Linked DNA regions of Callithrix jacchus. The protein of the gene in region 1 interacts with the protein of each later gene in a biochemical or structural test. Links are inferred from orthologs where the notes say so. Each region holds a gene or a part of one and is shown on either strand. Other genes may lie near its edges.

Region 1 (3,973 bases):
GAGATGTAGTCTTGCTCTGTCACCCAGGCTGGAGTGCAGTGGTGCTATCTCAGCTCACTGCAACCTCCGCCTTCCGGGTTCAAACAATTCTCCTGTCTCGGCCTCCCTAGTAGCTGGAATTACAGGCGTGCACCACCACCCACAGCTAATTTTTGAATTTTTAGTAGAGAGGAGGTTTTGCTGGGTTCTCCTAACCTCAGGTGATCCACCCGCCTTGGCCTCCCAAAGTGCTGGGATTATAGGCATAAGCCACCTCGCCTGGCCAAAAAGTGTTGTTTTTAAAAAATATGGTGTAAAGGGTTCAACTGAGGACTACATAAATAGTACTAAATTCAATATTCTGGATATAAGAATTTATAACCAAATGCTTAGCTAGACCAATTTCAAGGCACACATTTAAAATAACAATTTTTTTTTTTTTTTTTGAGACGGAGTTTTGCTCCTTACCCAGGCTGGAGTGCAATGGTGCGATCTCAGCTCACCACAACCTCCACCTCCTGGGTTCAAGCAATTCTCCTGCCTCAGCCTCCTGAGTAGCTGGGATTACAGGCATGTGCCACCATGCCCAGCTAATTTTTTGTATTTTTAGTAGAGACGGGGTTTCACCATGTTGACCAGGATGGCCTCGATCTCTTGACCTCGTGATCCACCCGCCTCGACCTCGCAAAGTGCTGGGATTACAGGCTTGAGCCACCGCGCACGGCCAAAATAACAATTTTTTTAGACACACCCAAACCACAATCTATAATTTTACTCCTTCTATTAACACTAAATTTCCGAGCCGTGTCTAGCCCCACCTAGACATCCAAAATAAACAAGGTTTACAAATAGGATATTATAAAGGTGGGACACGAATTTCACAACTGGTGTACATGAAATCATTTCTGATAAACCAGTATTTTTCCAAATATTCACAAGCTGATTTATAAGAAACTGAAAATTATTGTGCCAAGTTGGACTTCTGGCCTCTCGGTTTGATGATTGGTCCTTCCCTTCTGTCTTCCTCTGCCAGGAATACTCTCCTGACTCATCCCTGCCTGCCTATGTCCATCACTTCCTTGGAGAACTGGCTCAGGGAAAAAGTCCTGCCTGCCTAATTCCATCTCTACTAACTACTTTCTAACTTTGCATTCCCTTGGGACTTAAATACAGTTTGCACGACATAATCACCAACTTCATCCCTTTCCTTCCTATAAGTTGTTTTGCATTTTTCTATCATTTCTCCAATAAGAGACCAAGAAGGGACAGCATCTTCTTTCATATTCTTTTCAACACAGCTAGCAATAATCACCAGTGAAAGAAAGCTGACCTCTCAAAAATTGCTAAAGAAAGCAACTGACTTTTCGTTTACAGTTTACTCTATCACCTCCAATATGCATGAGTCCTTAAAGGAGAGGAATTTTATTTTTGCCTTACTTCAAATTCATCATAAAAGATCCAACTTACAAATCACATATATAACTTAATGTAAAGAATAATCCTGGTTATTGAAAGTTATCTTGTGATTTACCATTTCAAGTTTCTTACAAAAGCCGTAATAGTCTTGAAGCAGCGCGCCTGTGAGTGGAAGGAAGCTGGCAGCAGACTCTTGCAAAAGGGGCAAAACTCTAGTTGGCAGTAAATGTTCAAACACGTGATCCTCCACTGTTAAGGTTCATTAACCACACAGACTTGCTGTTTCAGCTTTCTGGCTTCAATGAAGTGCTATGATCTCCTTTGGTTATTGTTGAGAGCCAATGATGGGTTAAATTCCCATAAATTAACCAGCGCTTTGGTGGTTTGCCCAAGTATACCGCTGGCATCGGTGTTGGACTTTTTTTAATAGACCTGCCCGCCCCGAAGAGCCAGAGTTGAGTGAGTTAAGCGCCAACCCGGCACTTCTCAGCGGGCAAACGGAGACAGACCCACTCGAGCCGTTCGCTCTCCCTCTAGTTCTTAGTGTCAGCTTATCCGGCCGAGGGGGAGCTTCATGGGAAGCTGCTTTTTGCCCAATCTCAGCCGAGTCTTCCTTAGGGGCTGCAAGCCACACTTCGGCGGCTGCCCAACTTTTCCTGCAAGAAGCATCCGTTTTTCCACACTCTAAGTTCCAGAAACCCGGGTTTGGGAAGAGACGGGGAGAGAACCGGCTCGCCCCGTCGGCAGGGAAGGAACAAAGTGAGCTCCCGCGAGCCCAAGCCGCCGCGGCCCGCCCACCCTCCCGCCCCGTCGGCCGGCCCCACTCACCCTCCAGCAGCACCTCCTTGCCCGCGCGCTTCAGCGCCTGCACGGCCTGGTCGTGGGTGGCCTGGCGCAGGTCGGTGCCGTTCACCGACAGGATGGCGTCGCCCAGCCGCAGCGCCCGGCTCTGGTCGGCGGCCAGCCCCGGGAAGATCTTGGAGATGAGGATCGGCATCCGGTTCTCGCGGCCGCCCTTGATGCTGATGCCCAGGCCGCCCGCCTCTTGCTTCACCACCCGCACACGGCGCACGGGCGGCGACGCGCCCGCCTCACCCGCGGGGCCCCGAGGCGGCGCCGGTGGGCTCGGGGGCCCCAGGCCGCGGCTCGGGCTCCCAGGCAGCGAGTCGCCGGCGCCGCCGCCGTTCGGAAGGCCGTTGAAGGCGGCCGCCGCGGGTCCCAGAGCGGGCTCCAGCTCGGCCGCGGCGCCGTCGCCAGTCAGGCTCAGGCTCTCCCCGCTCAGTTCCGCCACCACTCGGACCCAGCGCTCCCTCAGGAGTAGCTCCACCAGCCCAGCTTTGGTGGCCCGCGTCCACACCGCCATGGCCGGCCCCTCTCCAGCCGCCGCAGTCGCCACAGCTACCCTCATTCCAGTCAGGCAGCCTCAGCGCTTCCCCCTTCCCGCCCGGAGGGGCGGGCCCGGCCCTTCCCCGGCGCGATTCATTATTCATGATGCCACGCCCACCTCCCGAGGGGCGGGGCCGGCGCAGCCGCTTCCGGGAGGTGCAGAAGCTGTCGGATCCCTCGCTTGTCGCCGGACGCGGGCAGCCCGAGTGCGGTGGGACTGCATTTCTCATCCTCCTTCCATTGGCTCCCCACGGACCCGCAGAAACTATTGACCTCTACCGTGCAATTCACGGAAGCTGCCTGGGCACGAAAAGCAAAATCAGCTTGGAGAAGCACTTTGCAAGCATGCAAGACCCGGTGGCACGTTCATTCTTGCACTGATTGGTTCGCACCCTGTGTACTGAGCGCTCAACCAGGGACTCCGGCTCCTTCTGAGGCCCTGTAGATAAGCGCAGTAGTACCAGCAACAGCTGAGAGTCTGCGGTCTAGTGGGGAAGGAAAATACAGAACCAACCAACTAGGTGTGATAATACGTGGTTAAATGACATACAGAAAATGTCCCCAGAACAGTATAAAAGGAACATTTGGGCTGGGCGCGGTGGCTCAAGCCTGTAATCCCAGCACTTTGGGAGGCCGAGGCGGGTGGATCACGAGGTCGAGAGATCGAGACCATCCTGGTCAACATGGTGAAACCCCGTCTCTACTAAAAATACAAAAAATTAGCTGGGCATGGTGGCGAGTGCCTGTAATCCCAGCTACTCAGGAGGCTGAGGCGGAAAAATTGCTTGAACCCAGGAGGTGGAGGTTGCGATGAGCCAAGATGGCACCACTGCACTCCAGCCTGGGCAACAAGAATGAAACTGAAAAAAAAAAAAAAAGAAAGGGAAGAAAGTCTGAGAAGGGGCCTGATAGAGGAGGCTCATGCCTGTAATCCCAGCACTTTGGGAGGCTGAGGCAGGTGGATCACTTGAGGTCAGGAGTTTGAGAGTAGCATGGCCAACGTGGTGAAAACTCCATCTCTACTAAAAATAAAAACATTAGCTGGGTGTGGTGGCAGGCCCTTGTAATTTCAGCTCCTAGGGAGGCTGAGGCAGGAGAATTGCTTGAATCCAGGAGATGGAGGTTGCAGTGAGCCAAGATCACGCCAGTGTACTCCAGCCTGGGTGAAAAAGTGAGACCCTGTCTAAAAACA
Region 2 (4,029 bases), on another chromosome or scaffold:
AAGTCAGATCATGTGCACCTATGCTCAAAATCTTGTAATGGTTTCCTTCTTTACTCAGAGTAAAGCCAATGTCCACACATTCCCCTACCCTTCACCTACCTGACTGCACTTTCTGCTCTTCTCCATAATCCTCTTCAGTCTCCTGGCCTCTATGTGTTCTTCAGACTTGTGCTTTTGCCCTAGCTGTTTGGTCTGCCTGAAATACTCTTCCCCTAGATAACCTGACAAACTCCCCCACCTCCTTAAAAAGTCTGTTCAAATTTCAGTCTCAATAAGTTCCACCTGACCACCTGACTTAACACTGTAGCTTTCTACCTCACCATTTTGATCCCTTTATCATGCTGTAATATTCCATGCCATTTATCATCTTCTAAGACACTATATATTTTCTACCTTTTATAGTGTGTTTCCTCCCCTTATCCCCCAAATATAACTCTAGCAAGCAGAGATCTTTGTTTTATTCCCTGATACATGCCAAATACCTAAAATTATGCCTGCTACATAGTTAGTACTCAATAAATACTTGTTGAATGAGGAATTGGGTGAGTGGAATATTATCCTGGCTGAGGAATACAGTGTTCTTGTCTCTGTAGCACTCAGTGCCAGGGAGAGGAACTGGTCCTAAGGAAGCTGGCCTTCCACTGGCTTCTTCTAGAAGCCTCCTCTGGGCTTCTCCAGAGAGTCTAAATGTGAATAGCTGATCTCTAGGGTTCCACTTCTCACTCCAGCAAGATCTGGGAAGATGAGGCTCCAGCAGTGGGTGTGTTAAAAATGTTCCTTGAAGAGAAATGCTCTTCCCCACCCATAACTAACCAAGTTCCAATCTCTCTCCTCCAACACACCCAGACCTCACCTTGGGACATGAGTTGTCGGAGCACACTTTGTAAGCGTTGGAGAACTGGGGAAGTGACTTGCAAAAGGGGCCGGGCCTGCCCCACTCCCACCTGGCACTGTCCAAACAAGCCATCTAAGGGCACAAAAGTGGTGTCAGCAGGAGGCTTGAACAAGAGGCCTTTTGAAGTCCAGGTTGCAAATGAACAGTATTCTCTTCACCTCCTCCCCTACCTCTCCTCCTCCAGGCAAGTCCTCCTTCTTCTCAAGCCCAGTAGCCCTCTTCCTTTCTGGCCTTCTCTCCCTTTCCTGCTTTTTATTGCCCATCTTCCCCCCATCTTGTCAGTTCTACACTTGGGCCTCACTCACCCTGAATACAGACTTCGAGGTGAGAGCAGAGCCTGTGGTCAAATAGACAGCCTGTAGAGGAACAGGTGAGCAGAGGCTCAGACACCCACACACAGAGAATGGGCAGATGGGTGGACAGGCTGGGAAAGGGGGAAGCAGATGCAGTTTATTCTTTCATTCTAAAGAAGGCCTTAAGCTGGGAGGAGAGTAAAAATCAGGCCTAAAATTCTTAAAAGGAAGCATGGGATCTAGTTTTGGATTTGAAGAATTTGTGAGTCTGGATCCTTAAAAGCGTCTGTTTACTTAACTGAGTGATAGGGAAGAAACCTTCCAGGTGCAGGGAGAAAGAAGTGGTGGAGAATAACATACTTGTCTGTCCTCATAGAATTACTGTAGGAGAAATTTTGGCCAAATTTTGAGAGAAAGGGGAATTTCATCCCCAAATATCCAAAAGCATCCTATAATAGCCTGGAACCCAGAAGAGGTGGAAACCCTAGCACACTTCGCCCGGTCGGGGGAAAGCGGGTATGGGAGGGGGTCTCTAAGGCAGCTCTCCCGGCGCTGTCCCGGGCCGCTGGCGCTGTCCGCGGTGCTGAAGTTCTGAGTCTGGCGCCGCCAGGGGCTCGCCTGGAGGCGGTTACCAGAGAGGAAGGGGTCACAGAACGAGGACTCTCCGCAAGACCTGAGCCCTCCGTTCTATTCTGCCAACCCACAGCGTCACAGGAAGTACTCTGTCTCTCGGGCCTCCAAGCCCGGCTGGGGAAAGAGGGCGCCAGGCGGCGAGGCTGCGCCCCTTCCCCCACGCACCACCCTCCTACCCCCACCCTCCGCCCGTGAGTCAGCGCTGACTGTCTCTGTCCGCACAGATGTGAGTCAGCACCAGGCCCGGCTGTGGGGAGGGGGACAGGAGAGGACCCTCCCCTCTTTATCCTCTTCTGCCCCCTCCCCGTGCTGTTCCCTGTTACGGGAGATCACATCGCTGCAATCGGCCTCTCTAGGCTTACGGAGAAACCCTGGCCTCTCTCTCGGCCCAGCTAGGACCTTATGCCTGCGGCCCAGGCTTCCACTGCCCAGGGATCGCCGTTCCCTCACCCTCTCCGCCACATCCCCGCCCCCTCCCATTCAGTGCCTGTCACTACTCCCCTGGCGCCTCGGCGCAACTGGCTTCTCCTGGGGTCTCGCAGTCGGTCTCTAAGTCCCTCTGTCCACAAGCACCCCGTGTCCTCCCGAACCTGCAGTCTTCCCCGGAGCCCAATTCTCTTAGGTCCCGCCCCCGTATTCCCAGCCCCACCTCCAGGCCTACGCCCCTTTCCTCCCAGACGCCCTCTCACCCTCCTCTGTCGCCTGACTCCCCCAACCCATATTCTCCCTAAGCTTTCTGACACTTCACCCCCACCACCACCCAGTTTCCCTCCTGGCCCCAAGCTGCCCACCCCACCCCCCCCCCACCAGCCAGCCCAAGTTTCCTCCTGACCGTGGGCACTAATGGCGCTGCAGCCCCCCGGGCGGCTGCTCAGGAGCAGGAGGCAGAGGAGCAGCCGGAGACCACCGGATCCCCCGAGACCCCCAGGCCGCCGCGGGCGCCGCATCCTTCCGAGCTCCGGGCGCTCGCTCCCGGGCCGGAGCCGCAGCGACGCTGGCGGGAGCCTGAAGGAGGGGCCGAGGCGGAGCCTGCCGCTACCCACCCCGCTATGAGGCGGGGTCTACATGCCCCCCTTGCTGCAACTCTGCCAAACGCAGGCGGATGCTGACGACACCTCCACCCCCGGCTCGTAAGCTAATTTGCGTCACATATGGCGTAAGAGCCCTGTCGGAGCGGGGGACCTACCCAGCCCATCCCTCCTCCGTCAAATACTAGGCTCCTCGCTAGAATTCCCACTCGGCCCCACCCCTTTTTGACCTGTAGCCCTCTTCTAGGACCACGACCTCTACGTGGGCGAAAATGCTCGAGTTGGGTGGGGGCCAGGAAAGGGAGGTGAGTCCAGAATGATAAACCCGAAGAGGAGAAGCAGAAAGTGGGTAGAATAAGTACTCTTACTCATTGTCATTGATGGTACTAGTGTCTTCCTTAAGAAGAAATGGACAGACGTTTGTGCCTGGATTCCAGTTCTAGCAGGGCACCTACTAAGGGTATGGTCTTGGGCAGGTTGTTTAACTTGTCTGCCTCCAAGTTTCCTGATCTGCAAAGGGGAGGTGCCTGCCTCAGACAGTGCCAATAGTACCTGCCTCACAGGATGGTTGTGAAGATTTTGTCAGTTACGTGCCTGGACTGGTGCATACTACATGCTGTATACATATTAGCTTTTGTCATTAGTATTTATTTATTTATTTACTTACTTACTTTGGATGGAGTCTTGCTCTGTCTCCCAGGGTGGAGTGCAGTGGCATGACCTTGGCTCACTACAACCTCTGCCTCCTGGGTTCAAGCCATTCTTCTGCCTCAGCCTCCCTAGTAGCTGGGATTACAGGCATACGGCACCTTGCCCAGCTAATTTTTGTATTTTTAGTAGAGACGGGCTTTCACCATGATGGCCAGGCTGGTCTTGAACTCCTGACCTCAGGCGATCCAACTGCCTCAGGCTTCTAAAGTGCTGGGATTACAGGCGTGAACCACCATGCCTGGCCTCCTTATTAGCTTTGACTCTCCTTTCTTCCTGGGCCACCTTGAGCCTGTCCATCATATTACGGTTTCTGCCTGCAAAATACATCTTCCATCAGTCCACTTCTGCCCGTCCTCACTACCTGAACTAAAACACTGTGCTTCTTCATCACAATCACTGCAACAATCAGCTAACTGGTCTTTTGCTTCCACTCTTGTCACTCAATAAGTGGGGGAGTGAGCTTCTTAAG

Evidence for each region. The genes of interacting proteins can lie anywhere in the genome.
Region 2: the proteins of SNTB2 (region 1) and PTPRN form a complex in vitro, tested with the Homo sapiens proteins (2 studies listed by BioGRID and IntAct). The link is inferred for Callithrix jacchus from reciprocal best matches to the Homo sapiens genes SNTB2 and PTPRN.

The regions. Positions count from the first base shown.
Region 1 is NC_133521.1:26,738,195-26,742,167, reverse strand, and holds the start of SNTB2 (beta-2-syntrophin), read right to left. Parts: upstream 2,821-3,973; 5' UTR 2,804-2,820; coding exon 2,224-2,803; intron 1-2,223. UniProt on the Homo sapiens protein: Adapter protein that binds to and probably organizes the subcellular localization of a variety of membrane proteins. May link various receptors to the actin cytoskeleton and the dystrophin glycoprotein complex.
Region 2 is NC_133507.1:141,051,995-141,056,023, forward strand, and holds the start of PTPRN (receptor-type tyrosine-protein phosphatase-like N), read right to left. Parts: upstream 2,829-4,029; 5' UTR 2,769-2,828; coding exon 2,654-2,768; intron 1,252-2,653; coding exon 1,201-1,251; intron 968-1,200; coding exon 854-967; intron 1-853. UniProt on the Homo sapiens protein: Plays a role in vesicle-mediated secretory processes. Required for normal accumulation of secretory vesicles in hippocampus, pituitary and pancreatic islets.